Linked DNA regions of Drosophila melanogaster. The protein of the gene in region 3 interacts with the protein of the main gene of each other region in a pairwise test. Each region holds a gene or a part of one and is shown on either strand. Other genes may lie near its edges. The genes, in order: LamC, baf, bocks and Lam.

What was found.
Region 1: the proteins of bocks (region 3) and LamC interact in a two-hybrid assay, tested with the Drosophila melanogaster proteins (one study listed by BioGRID).
Region 2: the proteins of bocks (region 3) and baf interact in a two-hybrid assay, tested with the Drosophila melanogaster proteins (3 studies listed by BioGRID).
Region 4: the proteins of bocks (region 3) and Lam interact in a two-hybrid assay, tested with the Drosophila melanogaster proteins (one study listed by BioGRID).

The regions. Positions count from the first base shown.
Region 1 is NT_033778.4:14,570,310-14,577,557, reverse strand, and holds LamC (lamin C), read left to right. Parts: upstream 1-1,786; 5' UTR 1,787-1,932; coding exon 1,933-2,333; intron 2,334-4,710; coding exon 4,711-5,305; intron 5,306-5,375; coding exon 5,376-6,181; intron 6,182-6,246; coding exon 6,247-6,367; coding exon of another isoform or gene 6,368-6,393; 3' UTR 6,394-6,748; downstream 6,749-7,248. UniProt on the Drosophila melanogaster protein: Lamins are components of the nuclear lamina, a fibrous layer on the nucleoplasmic side of the inner nuclear membrane, which is thought to provide a framework for the nuclear envelope and may also interact with chromatin.
Region 2 is NT_033779.5:8,027,706-8,031,100, forward strand, and holds baf (barrier to autointegration factor), read left to right. Parts: upstream 1-1,756; 5' UTR 1,757-1,902; coding exon 1,903-2,028; intron 2,029-2,110; coding exon 2,111-2,257; 3' UTR 2,258-2,860; downstream 2,861-3,395. Other genes in the region: CG7367 (uncharacterized protein), read right to left, coding at 1-234, 309-471, 533-674. UniProt on the Drosophila melanogaster protein: Plays fundamental roles in nuclear assembly, chromatin organization, gene expression and gonad development. May potently compress chromatin structure and be involved in membrane recruitment and chromatin decondensation during nuclear assembly.
Region 3 is NT_033777.3:9,588,906-9,592,742, forward strand, and holds bocks (bocksbeutel), read right to left. Parts: upstream 2,098-3,837; 5' UTR 2,025-2,097; coding exon 825-2,024; 3' UTR 563-824; downstream 1-562. Other genes in the region: P58IPK, read left to right, coding at 1-377. UniProt on the Drosophila melanogaster protein: Inner nuclear membrane protein. May have a role in maintaining the structural integrity of the nuclear lamina. During pupal development, plays essential and redundant functions with the other LEM domain proteins; MAN1 and Ote.
Region 4 is NT_033779.5:5,540,691-5,547,204, reverse strand, and holds Lam (lamin), read right to left. Parts: upstream 4,726-6,514; 5' UTR 4,545-4,725; intron 4,427-4,544; exon of another isoform or gene 3,881-4,426; 5' UTR 3,874-3,880; coding exon 3,411-3,873; intron 3,168-3,410; coding exon 2,464-3,167; intron 2,399-2,463; coding exon 1,697-2,398; 3' UTR 563-1,696; downstream 1-562. Other genes in the region: Hel25E (helicase at 25E), read left to right, coding at 5,284-5,482, 5,549-5,772, 5,869-6,052, 6,115-6,233. UniProt on the Drosophila melanogaster protein: Lamins are components of the nuclear lamina, a fibrous layer on the nucleoplasmic side of the inner nuclear membrane, which is thought to provide a framework for the nuclear envelope and may also interact with chromatin.

The DNA.
Region 1 (7,248 bases), on a different chromosome or scaffold from region 3:
ATAATCAACCATTCCATTGAGTAAATTTCCCTTTGCCCTCATTCTTATCAATTTGTAATCTTAATCCCCAGCTATTCATCAAGCTAAAAAAAAAACTCAGCTAGAATACTTTGAAGACAAAAAACAAAAAAACACAAAGAACAGAATAATAATAAAACCAAACAAAGTCCAAATGAGACAACAAACACAAACATTTAACATCTGGTTAGGCTTTAATGTTCGTTTTTTTTCCACACACACAAACGGGCTCATTAATTAATTTTAATTAGCTAACGCTCACAGCTTACAAACGGATCACAAGTATAATTATAATTTCGAAAAGGGAAGTGGCGAGTTTGGGTAAGAAAATAATTTCAACGCTCGTTCATGATTAAAAATAATTCGGTGACGTCACAGAGAAGCGGCTACGTTTTGGAGGTCAGTGCTATATACACTCGATTTACTTTTTTCTCCGTCTTTCGTTTTTTTTTTTTTGTCGTTTTTCTTTGCTTGACTGCCTCTCGGGTGGTGACGTCACGGGCGTCGTTAACATTGCACGAGAAGTTCACATATTTTCTCACAGCGTGTGTTGAGACAGAGAATTCACAGCTCTCTAGTTCTCTCACTCTCATTGCGATTCTCAGGGGCAAAATAAAAAACAGTTTGCCGGCTATTTTTTGCATTTGAAAATAAAAGTTGGCAAAGGGGGAAAAATCGCTCTGCCACTTTTTAGGTGCTTATTTATTTATTATGACTGTGGGGCATCTACAAAAGCGTTCCAGTAAACTCAATGTCAATAAATATTTCACTTATGACATGTTCACACTACGCCAAGCCGTTTTCCACCAACCACCAACCACCACCACCCACCAGGAATGTTATGTACTGGTGCTACTCCCAGTCGTATTTCATAATTTTGGACAAGTCACTGGGCCATAATTGACCCGCCGCTGATCGATAAGCTCGAGTGACACATTGCGCATTCGAACTGTGGGCCAAATGGCACGGAATTGATGATATGTGGGCGGGCGTTCATTGTGGTCGCTTTTCATGTGTCGCAATCTCTATTAAGGGAACTACATTATGCGGCCAACGAAAATCGAACAAATCATAATGAAAATGTGTGGCCAACGGGTGGAAGAATGTAATGATGCCGAAGGGAAATGTTCGTTAGGCAATGTTCAAACATATGCATAGATGGGTTATATTCCAACGTTTTCAAATCTTACAAACTATTTTCTAAAGTTTACTCCATTTCTTTTTCTAGTAAAATTTCTAATTCTGTAGCACTTAGCGCGTTCATTAACCTTGGGCAACTCAATGAAGATCTTATTGAAGATTGGAATGCATCGCTGGGATTCCGCCTAAAGGTACAGTGCAGCTTCTTTAAAAAGAACACTGTAAGTTTAATGCTAGAACTTAACAAAAACATGTGTTTCTTACAAATTTCTTTCATTTTATATTAAAACACGATTTTCAAGATTTTTAAAGATTTTCCAGAGAAGTAAAACAAAATGTAAAGAACTCGTTTTTGGGACCAGTTGGTGTGTTTGTTAGTTGTTCGATTTCTATTTAGAGTTCCAGCGGCACAAACAGCTGTACATAGGAAAGCACAACAACTCTTACATATGCGAATGGGAAAGCGAATATGGTGGAAGGCGAAACAACAATAATACTAAAGCCAAAAGGTGAGAGCGGAAAAAATAGAGAGAGCAGCGCCGCATTCGTGTTGTATTTGGTTTTTTATGACCGCCGCCGCCGACGACGACTAATTTTGTCGATGATAGCCGTTCGTTTCGAGTCAAAGTTTCAGTCAATTTTTAGTCGTCAAAGCAGGCGGACGTCCAAGCAAAAAAAATTCAGAATCAAAAATATTGACAGTGACTTGAGAGGATTACGTACTTAACTTAGCAACTCGCACCTCGCAAAAAGAAAAGAAAACACATTGCAAAAATGTCAGCACGCCGCGTCACATTGAACACACGCGTTTCGCGCGCCTCCACCTCCACGCCGGTGGGCGGGGCATCCACCTCGTCAAGGGTGGGCGCCACCTCACCCACCTCGCCCACGCGCACCAGCCGGCAGCAGGAGAAGGAGGAACTGCAGCATTTGAACGATCGCCTGGCCTGCTACATCGATCGCATGCGCAACCTGGAGAACGAGAACAGCCGGCTCACCCAGGAACTGAATCTCGCCCAGGATACCGTCAACAGGGAGACCTCTAATCTGAAGGCGGTCTATGAGAAGGAGCTGGCCGCCGCTCGCAAGCTGCTCGATGAGACCGCCAAAGAGAAGGCCAAGCTTGAGATCGATATCAAGCGTCTGTGGGAGGAGAACGACGACTTGAAGCCCAGGTAAAGCTCCAAGACGGCGGGTTCAGGTTTGGGCTCGGAATTGGTAACAGCGTATTATCAGCCAGTGATGTCATATGTACATATGTACCCATGCCGGGCCACTGGAGCGCGAGACACAGGCAGAAAATGGGGGCAACTTTGGGAGCCTTGTCAAGAAAATGTGGAATCAATAATGCACAGCACGAAAAGCAGCGAAATTTCTTCGATTTGTAAAGTAAAAGTACAGTCAGTCGAGATTTCTAGAAATGCACTACTTTTTATCAAATTGTTTTTTTTTTTTTACTTTTTTGTTGTATTTTGTATTGAAATAAGCGAATTTTATATTTATTTCTTAGGTACAGTTGACCTAGAAGTTCAATTCCAGCTATGTAGTTATGTAGCGAAAACAATAACAAATTGTTTTATTTATAAAGGCAATATATTTAATTTTCATATTTCATGCTATTCGTAAGAAGAAAAGAGTTTTAGTAAGATACAAACTTCAGTTTCCATGGTTGTTTTTTTTTTATATGTAGGGAGTGACAGAGACAGACAGAGAACGGGGCAGACTGAGAGCGAGCGAGGCCGATGATGTCATGCCAAAAGCACATTTTGAAAGCCAAGCACATGGGAAACTCTCTCGACTCTTTCGCTGTTGTTTATTTTTTGCATTTACACTTCCAGAATTCTCTAGGCATTTTTATGCAAATGTTTAGTTCTCAGCTAATGTGTGAGTAGTAAACCAAAAGAAACCCAATGAAAATCAAAAAGGAAGAATCGAAATACCGCCGTAAATCTCAATGAAGGTTACAAGACTATGATGTCATATGGCACTCAGTTACAGATCCATTTGTAATACCAGTTTCTGGTGGGAAGTCAACAAAAGTTGGGTTGCTTAGCTTTTCCACTTGCGAGATTTCCGTTTCGCGTCGTTTGCGTTATCATATTTATTTTTGGTATTTACTGCGCGATGAGGCCCAAAGCTTTTTCAATTCATAATAGCCACAATTTGTTGTTTGTGCGTTTTGCAATGCGTTAACGAAGTTAAGAGTTTGGCTAAAAGGCGGGTGCCTAAATGTTGGGTAAACTTGATTTTTCGGCTACTTAAGGTGTGGCTTATACGTTGAGCAACGGACCGGAATAACCAAGGAAATTGTTTATGATGATTACGATTAGATACGATAAGATTGCAGCAGAATTATGGAACTTGTGATAAAAGATTTATCTTTTGTTGAGTGTCCATATTGCTTAAATTATTTTCATTTGTGAATGCTGGCTGTGCTTAATTATTTTAAATTTTTTTTTGAAGAATTTAGAAAGCCAAATATATTTTCATATTTATTCTTTGGTGACAATAGCATACATATGTACAAGCGAATTAGGTCAGCGGAAGGAATTGGGGAGGAAAAATGGAACTTTAACACGCTCACACAAAACGCACAAAAAAGGGGGAAATTTATGAAAATCTAGAACGCAAACAAAACAACCTTGAATCTATTTTGTTTTTATATTTCCCCATTTTTACACAACTTTTCTTGATTAGCTACGAAAACTGTTTACATTTTCTCGTTGCAACAGCAAAAACCGAAAGAAAATCGATAAAACAGAATAGAAGATTTTCAATCCATGAAAATAAACTTTCAAAAATGGTCAACACAATCGCCGTAAAAGGCGCCAAACTATATATATAATTTTAATTACGTTTTCATTGAACGCATGACATGCAAAGTCAATTATTTCATAGTTGAAATTATTGGATTTGTTATAGAGAATAATTTAAAACGTGCCGACCACGCGAGTCGCCGATTGACAACCAAAATTGATATCCGAAAATATGCAGGGATTATTTGTGGAATTTTCGTAGCTATTTTTTATAGCGAGTTTGTTTTTGCCTAAATAGAATTTCAAATACAAAAAATAAAAGGCGCTCATAAATCACAGGGGGTGGTGGGGTTTCGCAGGGGGGACGGGGTGAACTGGTCAGAAATAGCCGGGCTACTTTATGCTAATGGCATGTGACGACTTCTCCCAAGGCAAACAAAAACCTCGAAATGTTTGAGTATTTGATTCTTCTATGGAGGAGGATCGATGAACGAGTTTCCAAGCGACTATAGCATTTAAATAAATGAAATGAATAATACATAAGCGATATAAAGAGAGCGGTTTAGCTTTCGCAAACAAATGTGAGTCGCAATGTGACTCAGTTATAATTATATAGATAAGTGACGTCATTCAATGAGCACATGTAGATAAAAGCAAAAAAAACAATTGCTCCTATGAACCGCCTAAATTTCGATAAGGGATTACTCAGGCAAATAGGCTGATTAATTATTAAATTAAAAAGTTCTTTGTTATAAAAGATTATTAATTTTTAAACCAAATCCATTTTAAATTTAAGACTCGACAAAAAGACGAAGGAGGCTACCGTGGCAGAGAACAATGCCCGCCTGTATGAGAACCGCTACAACGAGGTGAATGGCAAGTACAACCAATCGTTGGCCGATCGCAAGAAGTTCGAGGATCAGGCCAAGGAGCTCGCTCTGGAGAACGAACGCCTGCGCCGCCAACTGGATGATCTTCGCAAGCAGCTGGAGGCGGAGACGCTGGCCCGCGTCGATCTGGAGAACCAGAACCAGAGCCTGCGCGAGGAGCTGGCCTTCAAGGATCAGGTGCACACCCAGGAGCTCACCGAGACCCGATCCCGTCGCCAGATCGAGATCAGCGAGATCGATGGCCGACTGTCGCGTCAATACGAGGCCAAGCTGCAGCAATCGCTCCAGGAACTGCGTGATCAGTACGAGGGTCAAATGCGCATCAATCGCGAGGAGATCGAGCTGCTGTACGACAATGAGATCCAGAACCTCAAGGCTGCTGCCAATAGGGCTGCCCAGGGATCCGCTCTTGCCACCGAGGAAGTCCGTCTCATGCGCACCAAGATCGATGGCTTGAACGCCAAGCTACAGAATCTGGAGGACACCAATGCTGGCTTGAATGTGAGTACTGCAATTGCCAAACTAAATTCCCCGTGTGATTTTAATGTTGACATTTTCTCATTTACCATAGGCTCGCATTCGGGAGCTGGAGAACCTCTTGGACACGGAGCGCCAGCGCCACAACCAGTACATCGCCTCCTTGGAAGCCGAACTACAGCGTATGCGCGACGAGATGGCTCACCAGCTGCAGGAGTACCAGGGTCTGATGGACATCAAGGTGTCGTTGGATCTCGAAATTGCCGCTTACGACAAACTGCTGTGCGGTGAGGAGCGTCGCCTGAACATCGAGTCGCCCGGACGCCCGACTACCGACTCCGGTATCTCCAGCAATGGCAGCCACTTGACCGCCAGTGCCAGTTCCCGATCCGGCAGGGTCACGCCCAGTGGCCGTCGCTCGGCTACACCTGGCATCTCTGGATCCAGCGCCGTGAAGCGTCGCCGCACCGTGATCGATGAGAGCGAGGATCGCACTCTGTCCGAGTACTCGGTGAATGCCGCCGCCAAGGGAGATCTGGAGATCATCGAGGCGGACGTTGAGGGACGCTTCATCAAGCTGCACAACAAGGGAACCGAGGAGATCAATCTGACTGGCTGGCAGCTAACCCGCATTGCCGGCGACGAGGAACTGGCCTTCAAGTTCTCGCGCGGATCGAAGGTACTCGGCGGTGCTAGTGTAACCATTTGGTCCGTCGATGCTGGTACCGCACATGATCCACCCAACAATCTGGTGATGAAGAAGAAGTGGCCGGTGGCCAACTCGATGCGATCGGTGCTGGCCAATGCCGACAAAGAGGTGAGAGTCTTGTCCATATACAACACATGCGGCACTTGCGACATCTGCCGCCACTGCAGACACCTCGAATTCGTGCTCGACCAGTACGATATGCCATAGACCTTTGCATATTTCGACTATAATTTACGTTATATCTTTTGCCTTTCAGGATGTTGCCAGCTACGACCGTGTCCGTGCTAACGTTTCCAGCCACACCTCGCGGCATCGCAGCAGTGGCACGCCCAGTACGGGCTTTACCCTCGGTTCCGGAGCTGGCTCCACTGGCGTGAGGAGCCTCTTCTCCCTGCTCTTCTAGGCGGGAGCTTCAACTTCGAATCGGACTGGCTTGGCTTGGATCCTGAGGCCCAGCCAAACAAAACCCAACTCACCGCAGAGACTCACAGACTCCGAGCTGCACATTCAAACCACACACAGATCTGTTCTGCATATCAAGCTTATTGTGAAACTATGTACAACAATCAAAACTTGTTCAACTCTTAATGTTAAATGTTTAAGTGACCTTAGTACATGTCTTTGACTCTATGCGTCTCCTATGTTTAAGTAAGTTTTTTCACGCTCTACACCCTACTCTCACTCTCTCTCTCTGTAATTTATGACGAGAACATGCATTTTGGTAAAAATACAAAAATAAACAAACAAATAAATGTTACAAGAAAGTTGGCTGGAAAATCAATTAATGAGATTTAGCCGTGCGGTCGCCTGCGTTGATATCTTTTTTGCGAGGAAGCCAAATCGGCTTAGGCCAGTGGAAAACTTCTTGAGATGCTGTCGCGGCATTTTGCACTATCTGGGATCCAGGACCATGGGCCAGGCCATAATGGACAGGTAAGTGGGGGAAATTAACTACAAGAAGTCAGGTGGACAGGTGCAGCTGGGAGCAAAACTGTGGGCTAAAACCGAACGAGGTCAACGAAAAAGTTTCGCAACTTTACAACTTGAAAATAAATTAGGTTGGATCACTGGGAAAGGTCGAGCAAACCGAAGCAAAAGTTTTTAATGGAGCAAATATACAGCTTCAGGGCAGTTGTAGAAATATACTATTTAACAATTCTAGGGCTGCCATTCAAACTAATAAACGACTCGTTTCGGATACAAAAATAATGCTTAGAAATACATATGTGCAATAAAAGCCAGTTGTACTAGTTCGTTT
Region 2 (3,395 bases), on a different chromosome or scaffold from region 3:
TGATCCTTCCAGTTGATGGCGAACACGTTCACCTGGCCACGTTCGATATAGGCACCACGAATCGATTGAATCGAATTGCTCATGGTGCTGGACTTCCAGCCGTGAACGAGTATCTTGGTGTCCAGTTCCGGATTGAATTTCTCCGCCATCTCCTGCCAGGTGTCTCGCTTGTGGCGCTGCGGAAACTCAAAGTTATTCTCATCTATCCAGAAATCAGCACTGGAACTGGAGTCGCTGGAATAAAAGGATTCAAATTGTGACCACTACGAAAGATAACTCTTCAAATCAAATAAAAAAAAACCACACACCTTCCGTACAGCTCGAACTTGATGAGCTGTGGCAGATTGATGCGGTTTTCGGGCGGAGGTTCCACCAGATAGGCCACCTCAGGCTTACCCTGTCCATTGGGCATGTAGATCCAGGTTTTGTTGTAATCCTCCTGATTTAGAGCCACCTCACCACGAATGCCAACTAAAATGGAGCAGAAACTTATGCTTAGAAGGATGGCTAAATCGAATTGAAAACATTTTACAAAGCAGCAGCACGGGTCGCACCACTTGGGCGAGGGCAGCGAATCCGGTGATGAGCCACTGCACCACCACAAATGTGGTGGACACCTCGTTGCGACACGGATTGATCACATTACAGATGCAGGCCAGCGCATTCGAGGACATCTTGACCAGCTAAACGTCGATCTTGAACTGATCGGACGCCGGATTCCAAAGATCGGAGCTCCCAGCTCCCAGTTTCCCAGCTTCCCAGATCCAAGCTCATTAAGGCGGCTGACGCATTAGTAATCCTCGAAACCGGTTCCAGCCCAGCAATTAATTTGTGGCCTGGAGCGTTTTAATTACTCAGCATCAGTGTGCGCGCGAATCTCGGTCAGGTGAGACAAAGCCACATATGTATATCCGTTTCCCCGTAACTCCCAACTCACCCATCCAACAACTAAGGGCCAGGCCACAAAGCCAGCAAAGCGCTAACATCTCTGTACCAAAGTCGACGTCACTGTGCCACGGGAATCGGGTGTGTGGATTTTATAGCGTACGATAAGCTAGACGAGGGCCAGGTGTCAATCAAGACTGGAGTTTTGGACGGACTGCTGGCCAGGTTGAAGCCTCGGTCGGAAGGGTCTCGGCGTTATCATTCCAACTCAGTTGGGCGTCCCAAGCGCGGCGCTGTTAAATTGGGTTAAGCCCAGTTCATCGGTGCATACTAATCTAAGGTGCGTTGCCCCGGTATTGAAAAGTGGAACAATATAAATATTTGAAAATATGTTCGGTAATTTAGTTAAATAAGTTACAATAACAATTACATTTTTATAAGTGTTTTTATGAAAAATGCTACATCTTATGTACACATAGATTAAATATTATTTAGATTTTCAGCGATGGCTATGTAAATTTTTCACAAATGCAATACTTTAATGCACTAACATTATAACAAATTTCAAATTTATAGAAAACTTTAAGTATTCAAAATCTAAAACGGTCATGTAAAATACCATACATCAAACCATGTAAGCATACATCTTACATGTAAAATATTGCTGGCATTTGACCTAAGTAGATTAAGTAGATTACAAAAATATGTAATCCGCAATTTCAAAGAAACATTTTTGAGTGCATCTTATAAAACTCTATTTTTTGCCAATGCTATGTAAAAGAATAATTAAACTTTGTTAATTGTTGGGTGCGCAAATGAGTAAAGCCAGAATTACGTGGCCTATTACATTGCCTAATTTTGTTTAGTATATCTAGATGTGTTGTTGCATTTTCGAAAATATCACTTGCTGCCACACTGGCTGTGCGTCATTTTCAGAAACGCCGCGAATATTTTGCCATTGAAATCTAGCTAAGCATTGGAATTTCGCAACGTGCAGCAGCAAAGCAAACTACAAACATGTCGGGCACATCGCAGAAACACAGGAACTTCGTTGCGGAGCCAATGGGCAACAAGTCGGTGACGGAACTGGCCGGAATTGGGGAAACCCTCGGTGGACGCTTGAAGGACGCTGGATTCGATATGGTGCGTGTGTAAATACGATGACGCCATGTGCGCAAATAAACAATGCCAGTCAAGTGCTAACGATCATTTCCATTCGTTTTAGGCCTACACCGTTTTGGGACAGTATCTGGTGCTGAAAAAGGACGAGGAGCTGTTCAAGGACTGGATGAAGGAGGTGTGCCACGCCAGCTCCAAACAGGCATCCGATTGCTACAACTGTCTCAACGATTGGTGCGAGGAGTTCTTGTAAGAGGTGGACACACAAGCCATCCGAGTAATTCGATCAAAAGGAATCTGCTAAAGGCATCGGCCAATCATTTTTATTCGCAGTCAACGAAAGTGGCCCAATGCTAGCTAAGCATTTGCCGTGTTCACTGTTAGTATGTATAGCTGTAGGGTGTAATTTAATGTCTAATCCGAATAAATGTACAGTCATGGAAACGATCCTGCATTTGGATCTCTGTTCTGCGAAAAGTACAGTAGGTGTAAAACATTTGTTGCTGGCCGGCGAAGCAGCCTAATGCAGATTTTTATTAATTTGATTAGGGGACAACAATAAGCAACACTATAGAAGGCAGATCGGTTGGCGACTATATCTTCTCTATGTTTTCGATTGTTGGCGAGTAGGAGTCTCTGACTCGCTGAAATAAGCCTCTGTCTTTTTGATGTTTCTTTATCAGCGGGCTGATGTCGCCTAATTTTGAAATCTATTTCTTTTTGTTTTTCGGAAATGATCTTTTATAATGATGGACTTAGAACCTTTTAAATCCCAATCGCTGTTTTGTTTGGGGATTATGTGTAAGCGGTTAATATATATTTTATAATGAAACCCCTTTTGTCAAAATTAATTGTCCTCGAGTAATTAATTAGTACCGAGTATTTGATTATAAATACAACTTTTTTTAAATAAAAATATATATTTTTAAAAACTTATTTTTAAAGTGAGTGGTATTAAATAGGATTTCTTTTCCCTGAAGTGGTATCATATGGTATTTATTTTTGGTCCCGTGGTATTTTTTATCGTTATCGGCGCGGTCACGCTGCTAAGAATTACATTACGCGTGAATACCAATGAAAATTAAGAGAGAAATTGCAAAACACAGCCAAGCGGTGCAATAAATCGCAAAGTAAGAGGCGCAAAACGCGCAAATACCGTTTGCGCGGTTAAAAAATGCAAAAACACCAAACGATAGATTAAACAAAGTGAAATTAACTCGGCTTTGGCATATGCGAACACCAGTGTGCCAGTGTGTGTGTGTTTTTCTTTGTATATAGACTCGCAGAGCGAGACGGCCATACACGACGGCAGACGGGACGGTGCAGGTGCGCGAGTGCGAGCGGGAAAAAGGCTGTGCGGTCACTGCTACTCTGTGTGTTATTTCAGAGTT
Region 3 (3,837 bases):
GCAACACCCGCGCTAAAGAAGGCATCCAGAGGGCAAAGAAGCTGCAGAAGCAGTCAGAGCGCAGGGATTACTATAAGATATTAGGCGTTAAGCGTAGCGCCAGCAAACAGGAGATTGTGAAGGCCTACAGGAAGGCGGCGCAAAAGTGGCATCCGGACAACTTCCGCGACGAGGAAAAGAAGGTGGCCGAGAAAAAGTTTATTGACATTGCCGCAGCCAAGGAGGTTCTCACGGATCCCGAGAAGCGTCGTCAATTCGACAACGGCGAGGATCCATTAGATCCTGAGAGCAATCAGCGTGGCGGCTTCCATGGCGAACATCCGTTTGGACACTTCCAACACGGGTCGCCGTTCCAGTTCAAGTTCCACTTCAATTAGTCAGCCAGCAGCCATTTGCTTTGTGATGTCCTAGCCGCGATCCCCGATATCCTTTAACGATTTTACACTGTTTTGTTCATTTAAATGGCGTGTAAATAGTAGCATAAAGCATAAATAAACCCATGGTCCGTTGTCAGAGAGTACCACAAACAAACACAAATCGCAACAAAACACACTGAGCACTTACATTTAATTAGTTTATTTAATACAATACAATAATTATAATGTAGTACATTTTTCTAATTATGTATAAAAAGAAACAATATGCGAGAACAAGCAATTAAAGACTTGGCAAATTGAGTTGAATATTTGTTAGTTTTGAACATGTTTGGAATTGAAGTAGTAGTCTTAAGGTGCAAAGTCGTCATAAATATTCCTTCGCTGTAGTCTGTGGTTGAAATGCGTGGAGTAACCAAAACCAAATGTATTCCGCGATATGAACGCTTCTCAGGCGTTGGGTGTCAATACCACGTACACCATGGTGGCCAGCATCACTGACACTACCAATATTAAGTAGAATTTGAGATTATATTTTTGATCCAATGACACCGCCAGTGCACGGAACTGCGCCATAGGCGAAACCTGATCGTGGTGTCTTACCAGAGGTTTTCTAGCCAGCGGCGAGAAGCGATTCTTTTGGAAATGGCTATTGATGGGTACTTCCTCGACTTCGGACTCGCTCTCCGTCTCCATGGGTTCGCCTGCGTCATTCGGCTGATCGTAGAATTCATTTAGTTGTGGATATAGAGTGTTTACTGCGGTGGTCGGCTGGAGCAGGCGACCACGGGCCAGATTGGATCCACTAACTGGAACACTCTGTCGCTGGCGAATGGGTGCTGGAGCTGGTGCTGGGCCACCAAAAGGCCTAGCGGATCCGCTGAAAGTGTTTCTTGGCGAAATGGGTGAAAGTTTTGGATTGTACGTAGATGACTCCTCGTAGCTGGTTGAGTTTAAGTTGGTTTGAGTCAGCAGGGGACGCGAAAAACCCAAATCTGTGGGTCTGTATGTCGAAGGTTCGATGCGTGGCTCGTATGTGGGAAGTGCGTGAAGAGTGGCGGCTGGCACATGGGGTCTTTCGTAGGTGTAGCTGCGTGGTATATCCTCCTGTTCGTACAGCGGCTGGTCAACTTCGCGTGTGTAAGATGTGGTCAAAACTCCGGATTTGGCTAGAGAAACATAACGTCTAGGCTGCTGGTCCTTGGAGTAATTAGGCACCGGAGAGTCCACCATGTAGGAGTCGTCGTCCTCCGACTGGGAGCTCATATCCGACACCGTGGTAGTAGTCTGCACAGATCTTCCCGAGATCGAGGTGTTGTCTAGTCCATAGGCGATTGTGCGACGACTTTGTTCGCTGATCTTGTTGTTGTTGCTGCTAGTGCGTCCTGCACTCTTGCCGGGCGTACGACGCACTGGCTCCGATGTGGGCGTCGTTACCTGGCTGCCGTGTACGGTCTCACGCCTCGGAATCGCTTTCTTACTTGCAGATTTGCTTTTGTTCAGCGGAACCCCGGTGATTTTGGCCTTTAGTCGGCGAATTATGACGCTGCGGGTGCTGTCCGTCACGGGAACACCGGGCAGGCCGTGCTCCAGGCACTTGGCCAGCAGCTCCTTGTTGCCCAACGTGTCCAGGTAAGAAAGGTCCGACATTATTTTCCGCCGTGGTGAAACTCAAAACACACAAAAATAGCAATGTCGTCACAATGTTGTCTATTAGTGATGGAACGGCAGCGATAGAATGTTCAATCTAAGTGCACGCCTATCGATTGCTGCTAAAGTAATGTTGTTTGACAAACTATAGCTAGATTTCATATGCTGGATGAGCTGTGCACGAAAGTAAAAACAATTTTTTAACATCAGACAGAAGAACAAACTACTTGAAGAAAAACTTAACTCGATATTTTATGTGCAATCGCCTCATGTGCAGTGTTATAAAATGCCTACAACTAAACATTTACAGCAGTGCTGCCAGACCTGGTTGGATACGCTTGCTATGGTTTATTTCAACTAACGCCCGACGGTCACACAGTTAGTTTTATGAAAATCGAACGCGCAACAGGTGTTCAATCGCAAACAAGACGCTCGAATTAAACGAATCGCCGCGCGGAAAGCGCTCGCCAAGCCAAAGAAAATCCCCAAGTCGCAGTGCGGAAAACTGAGGAGATATAGCATCGTAACATAAACAGTGGATTGTGGAAAAACAATCGTGAATCATTTGCACCTGTTTGGCGGCCAATATTTCTTCACCTTTTTGCTTTTCTGCGCCTGCGTGTGTGCCTCACTTCGCTTATTACACTTTTGTTTACCTCAATCGCGGGTGTTATTAAAGTTTTTGGCATCGATTTCGAGTAGCAAAGCAAGTGGCTGGAAACATTCGACAATTTGCTGGCTGCAATTGCAGCATATTTTCCATTTAGCCAAGCAAGAGCAAGGGAAACAAAAACAGCAACAACAGCAGCAGTAGAAGCAGCAGCATAAACATAAACCAAAAAACCGGTTAAAGCGGACAAGAGCGAGAAAGGCGCCCCAAAAAAGAGCAAGCGGGACAAAAACAAACACATAAAACGTGAAAAACAACAACGAATCAAAGTAGATATAAATACTAAACGAAAAAAAAAATATCCTCGTATTTGGGTTTTTGTTTTTTTGTTAAGCGCAAACAGAAAATAAGTGCGTTTGTTCTTTGTTTAAACGTGTTGACATCGTGTTTTCCCTGTAAAATTCCTTATCGGCCGATCGAATCGAAAGTGAACGAGTAATTGCCTTTCTGGTATTTGGTTTATTACATTTCGATATTGCTATTGCCCAAACTCAAACTCTGCGCGTGGCCTCCTTCTTATCGGCAGTCCAGTTCACCAGTCTACTCCACCAGAAGAACTACCTGTTGCCGCAACAATTAACACCAGGTGAGCAATAAAACCAACCCTTTTTACACTTCTGCAGCTTAGAATGCCCAATAGGACCGACCACCGGGTATTCTTTAAATATTGTTTACGTTGCACTTATAACGAATTCCAAGGAATGTACTCACAAAGAGCATTTGAACAATTGTATTCATGAAGATATATTTACTCATAATTAAGAATTCATCTAAAAAGAAGCATCGGGGGTTGCAAGGAAGAAATGGGGTTTCAAACTAAATGTTAATATCAGTGATTTAGGCACATACATATTTGGTGCTATTTTTGGAGTGGCTTGTACATGTGAATTTGCTGATTTCAAGTAGCTCCAAATGTTATTTATTGTTACCAATATAATTTGTGTTGGGCATTTCATTCTATTCAGTCGGTCATTGCCTATATTTGGTATTGCTTGATAGCCAAGTCACGTGAGAGGCCTTCCATCGATAAACCAAATCACAATTGTTAACAAAAGATTAGCCCCATGCCCATGACATTAGGCAACCCAAATTGGGGGAATTGGGGAATTCGCCACCGCAGTTCATTGACACAACCTTTGGCTG
Region 4 (6,514 bases), on a different chromosome or scaffold from region 3:
AGAGAGAATAATCAGAAATGCAATTGCAAGCAACCTTGAGATACTTTTGTTATCGTTATCGCGGGTTAAACGGTCACTGCATTTGCCAGTTGAACGAACTTTAACCGCATCTCTCGCGTTGAGTGCGTTTCGTTTGAGTGGATTTTGCTCTCTTCTCTATCGACAGGGTTGACACCTAACATTTTTAAAAGAAACAATCATGGTCGGAAGAAGAAGAGAAATTATATTTATAAATGCGAAAGCACGTTGGTTTTGAAACGTCCTGCACTCAAAAATAATCGATAAGTCACTCAAAAATAAAGTTTATGAGCGAACACACGCATTGAAAAAGCATGTAGGCAACTAATACAGACGCAGAAAAATTAAAATTCCAAAAATAACTCATGGCGACGAATAGAAACGCAAAGCGAGTGACGAAAAAAGGGCCACCAGGCGTCGAAAGTGAAATGCGTACCCTACTATTACGAAATTCGTAGGAGCTTATTGGTTTCAGTATACGCTTTAAAACTATTTAATACTTTTTTATGTCTTTCTCTCTATTGCTAAATCAAAGTTTGTTTTTAATTTTTATTAAACATGGTTTCTTTATTTTTTAATTATCAAATTATTAGCAATTACATACATAAACGTAGATGTACTTAAAATTTAGTTGTATTCATCAGTTTTTGTATAATAGTCTGTGTGGGCGTTGCATTTGTTTGGCCGGCGTAAAACGCGACCACGCCCACCCATAAAAAATGCGACGGATCGCTGAGCCGCTACGTGTACTTCCATTTTCTTTCGTTTTTCTTCTTTGTTGCTTTTGTAATTGTTGTACATTTGTGTTGTTGCTGTTAATGCTGTTGTTGTTGTTGCTGTTCTTATTGTTGCTCGTCCGGTAAAATGTCTGCAGGAAGCTCAAGAACCGGTCTAAACCGGGAGAAAGCCGTTTTGGTGGATCGTAAACCCTATGGCCATGGCTAAAAATATATATTGCTGGCTGGTTGTCACTTCCGTAGGCATGAGTCTATATATATAATGTATGTATGTATATGTATGTATAATGTATAATGTATTTTATGTTGATTGTACAAAAAATACTTAAATAAATATGTCTGTTGTCAGGAGCGTTTGTTTTCTTTAGTTAATCCTCTTGACCTGTATCTTATAAATCACTCACTACGTGCTCGTTGTTTTTTTTTTGTTGTTGTTTGCTGACGTCGACTGGTTTATCTGGGATATAGCTTAAAAACTAATTTACTAAATATGTAGGTGGAGCGTAAGTACATCGAAAATATTGTTTTTCTTGCAATATTTTCAAAGTTCTTGCCGCCGCGAATACAAGAAGTGAACGTCTTACGTAAATTCTATGTGGCATAAAAAAGAGGCAACATGCCTCTCCAGTTTATACCAAATAAAGTTTACAATAGATTAGTTAACGCGGAAATACAAAAACATCGAAACAATAAACTATAGAATTTGTTAAGAAAGGGAAAACGAAAGTGTACAAACGAAACGAAGATTCAGGATGTCTTCTACACAAATGTTTTTGATTAAATAATTGGCGCTGCGGCCACAAAAAATAACTTAGCTGAATAATAAATCTCTGTACCTCGGTGTGTGTGTTTTTGGGTTCTAAATTATGATCTTCGTGTGTGCTTATTTTGTTTGTCTTGTTCAGCAAAGAGGAAAGAGTTGTGTTGTGCTGCGTTTGATTTTACATAATGGCGCACTTCTCGTTTGACTGCTGAGGATCGCCCTGCTGGTGGTAGAGCTGCTCATTGCCGTCCACGGCGGTCACGCTGCGACGACGACTCAGCCGGGAGGAGGATGTGTGTTGGGACACAATGCGCTTGATGCGATCCAGATTGGCCACGGCCTCGCCCTCGGAGTTCAGCAAAATCGTCCTAGTGTTGTCGGCGGAGACCCACTTCTGTGACTTCATCACAAGGCTCGATGGCGGCTCGTGCGAGGCCTTGGTGTCCGCCGACCAAACGGTGATCACGCCATTTGGCTCGATCCTCACCGATCGATGGAACTTGTAAGTGGTCGAAGGACCTTTCTCGTTGATTAGCCGCTGCAGCTGCCAGCCACCGATGGCCACCTCCTCGCTGCCCTTGTTGAACAGCCTTACGAACTTGCCCTCGGGATCGATCTCCTTGATCTCCACGTTGCCCTTGGCACTGGCGGACACATAGTAATCGGCGACGCTGTGATCCTCCGACTCGTCGACCACGGCGCGTTTGCGCTTCACGGCAGCAGAGGGAGTGCGACGCGATGGCGTGGCTCGCGTGGAGTTGCGCAGCGACTGGCTAAAGGACTGCACTGTGGCCGTGTTGGTGGCTGGGGTGATGTTCAAACGAGCCTCCTCGCCCACCAGCAGCTTGTCGTATGCGGCGATTTCCAAATCCAGGGAGACCTAAGCAGGATAATTAGATTTATGTATTAATACGTACACGATTTTAGACAAGTATTAAAGCTAACCTTGATGTCCATAAGGTCCTGGTACTCCTTGAGCTGTTGCGTCATCTCTTCGCGCAGCCGAATGAGCTCCTTCTCGAGAAGGTCTATCTCTTGACCGTGGCGTTCGCGATCGTTGTCCAGCTGGCGCTCCAGATCACGGATCCGCGCATTGAGGTCGGCATTGGCTTGCTCCAGTTCGTTGATATTGGCGTTGAGCGCATCGATACGCACACGAGTGGAGCGCAGCTCCTCGATGGACTTGTGCGTGGAATTGGATGTGCGTGCGGCGGCCTCTTGCAGTCGTTGGATCTTGTCCTCGTAGAGGGACTGGATTTCATCGCGATTAATCTGCATCTGCTCCTCGTACTGGGCGCGCAGCTCCTGCAGCGACTGCTTCAACTTGGCATCGTACTCGGAGCTGAGGCGACCGTCGATCTCGCTATACTCTGTCTGTTTGATGCGGCGCGACTCATTGATCTCCTGCGAATGGATCTGATCCTTGAACGAGAGCTCCTCGCGCAGACTCTGAATGGTGTTCTCCAGGTCAACGCGCGACAGTGTCTCCTGTTCCAGGTTCTTCCGCGTTTCCTCGAACTGCTTACGCAGTCTCTCCAGCTCCTTTAGCGCCTCATTCAGGTCTTCGTTAAGCTTCTTCCGATCGGCGTTGGCCTGGTTGTATTTGTTGTTCAGCTCGTTGGCGCGCGACTCGTACATGCGGACATTGCCTGCGGGTTGGGATAATCAATCAATTAATGTTCGTTAAATGCCAGAATAGGGATGATTTTGTCACAGAAAGTGAGGAATATCATGGGATAATCATTATATACAGTTCAGCAACTAAATGAATGTTTCGTTCTTGCTTGAAACCACGCCTTTTGTCTCTTCTTACTTTTAATTTTATCATTACTCTACTTTCTTTGCCCTACAATTATAAGGTTTTCTTATCGATTCAGTTTCCACGCACTTACCCTCAGCAGTGGTGCACTCCTTGGTCTTCTTGTCCAGCTTGTTCTTGAGCTCCTCGTTCTCCTCCCAGAGACGCTTGATATCGATCTCGGCACGAGCGCGATCCCTAGCTGTGTCATCGAGCAGACGGCGCGTCTCCAGCAGCTCGGCCTCGAAGATGTTCTTGATGTTGGTGGTCTCGCGTGTGACCGTGTCCCTGGTGGTCTGCACCTCGATGGTGAGGCGGGAGTTCTCCGTCTCCAGGTTGCGCACCCGGTCAATGTAGGTGGCCAGGCGATCGTTCAGGTTCTGCAGCTCCACCTTCTCGGCCACGCGCGAGTGCCGGGTGGGGCTGAGGGGGCTGGAGGCCGTCTGCGAGTGAGTGGACGGCGGCGGCGGCTGCGGACCCGCCGATGGCGGCCGGGGGGTGGAGGTGTTGCCGGGCTGCGGCGTGGCGGTGCCAGCACGTCGGGATTTGCTCGACATGTTCACGCTGCAAGACAAATGAAATGTGCAGAATAACACGTGAGATTTTTGTGACTGACCTCTTTAGGACACAACACTTGAAGAAAAGTTGAATAACACAATTGCGTGCCTTCTAAACGCGTTTTATATGCAATACTTATATTTGAACTTTTTCGTTCGGTGTAGGGTATGTTATTTTTGCGCCCTGATAAAATTCCAAACAGAACCGAACACGAAAGAGGGGAAACGCACAAAACGCTCAAAAACAGAAGCTAAACGAGTTTCTCTAACGCGCTCTCTCTCTCTCTCGCAGTCTCCTCTACGTCTCACTCACACACACGCACATCGCTTTCCACTCAAGCGACTGTACTAAAGCGGACGAGGAAAACGAAGTGAGTTTGTCGGCGTTTGTTTATGGGCGTGGAGGCAAATGGCGCGGCTAATACTAGTTTAATCAATCGCAACGCTTAGCTAATCCAGTCGACGCACTTTAAACGATTTGATAAGGAGCCAAAAATTGCACAATATGGCGATTTTAATTCAATATTTACAGCGACTTTACACTAATACAGGCAGGGGGGTTATTTCGATTTTGAGTGAAACAGTGCCGCCTCTATTGTTCGGCACTTAATCAGTTATTTCAACTTTTTCTACAAGTTTTCCTAATGCTCGTAGATAGCAGCGCAACTCACCTGACTTTTTATAACGAACGGAAAATGCACAAATTTGAAAATGAAGTATCTTGCAGCAGGAAAACGCGGCCGACGCTGGAACGTGTAATCGAATTTGTTGCGATGGTTTCAGAGACTAATCGATAACTTTCCGGCATGCCTGGTGTGACCAAACGCCGCGCTAGATAAAAGACTAAGAACCGCTTGACCCCAAAATGATAAAAAAAAAATTAAATTTAAGCTCAACAAGCCATTTTAATTTAAAGCGTTAGAAGGCATATATTTTATAAAAACTTTTTAGTTGAAGCTTACAAATGGATTTGTTGTGCACAACTATCGATAACTTAACGATATCACCCGGCTCAGCTCGCATGAGTTCTTAAACGTACTTCGGTCACACTGCTCTGCGCTGTTTTTTCCTCCGCATCACGTTAAAGATTTTAAAATAGTTAATTTCACTTTAAAAGCTGTATTTTAAAGTGATAAACGTGCACAAAAGGTGAGTTTGACACTGAAAATCACACTGCACTAAATAAAATCGTCGCTTGTAATGGGTATTTCGTTTTATTTCGAAATACATGTAATGCGGTGCGGTGAAAAAACAAAATGGCGGAGGGAACGCCGGCACCGGTTCCGCAAAAAAAAGCGGCATTTTCTTTAACAAACACATGTAACTTATCTAGTCGCACCCATTTTATTTCCCAGCATTTAGTTGCGAATTTATAGCCGATAACTAGTTAAAGGTAAGAAAGCCGCAGAAATGGCCGACAATGACGATCTTTTGGACTACGAGGATGAGGAGCAGACCGAGACCACTGCGGTCGAAAACCAGGAGGCCCCCAAGAAGGATGTCAAGGGCACCTATGTGTCCATTCACAGTTCCGGCTTCCGCGATTTCCTCCTGAAACCGGAGATCCTGCGCGCCATCGTGGACTGCGGCTTCGAGCATCCCTCGGAGGGTGAGTACTTGCACTCCACCTGGAGTGACGAAAGGTACAGTCACTAACGATGCTCTCCGCTTGCAGTTCAGCACGAGTGCATTCCGCAGGCCGTACTGGGCATGGACATCCTCTGTCAGGCCAAGTCCGGCATGGGTAAGACCGCCGTCTTCGTTCTGGCCACGCTGCAGCAGCTGGAGCCGTCGGACAACAACACCTGCCACGTCCTGGTCATGTGCCACACCCGCGAGCTGGCCTTCCAGATCAGCAAGGAGTATGAGCGATTCTCCAAGTACATGCCCACAGTCAAGGTGAGTCTACGTTTTAATCCATTGTATATAATTCAACAAAAAGTTTGGTTCGACTATATAGTTACTATATATTAATTCGATATGTTTTCTATTTAGGTGGCTGTCTTCTTTGGCGGAATGGCTATTCAAAAGGACGAGGAGACCCTCAAGAGCGGCACCCCGCATATTGTGGTGGGCACCCCTGGCCGAATTCTCGCCCTCATTCGCAACAAGAAACTTAATCTGAAGCTTTTGAAGCACTTTGTGCTCGACGAGTGCGACAAGATGCTGGAGCAGCTGGGTAAGTTGACTAATAATCACCAAATGACGGACGTTTTACTAATAACCAAACCATTCTTTTAGATATGCGTCGTGACGTTCAAGAGATTTTCCGTAGCACGCCGCACGGCAAACAAGTGATGATGTTCTCTGCCACATTGAGCAAGGACATTCGTCCCGTTTGCAAAAAGTTCATGCAAGATGTAAATATCAACGTGTTCATAACCAAAATGCTCGTACTTCTCCACCTCGCATCCACCGCTATCACGACAATTAGTTATTATTTTGTTAATGCCACGCGATATCGAACATTCGATCTTGATCCCCTCCGTATAAGCCAACCACCATCTTGCAAATGGTTAAACGCGTACAACCAAACGTCCAGCGCTCTGTGAGCATAACTCGTATCGAAAAACTTAGTTAATGACTATCGGACACCATTTTCTAAATGGTTAATCGTGGAAATTGGCAACCGTTGCAAAAG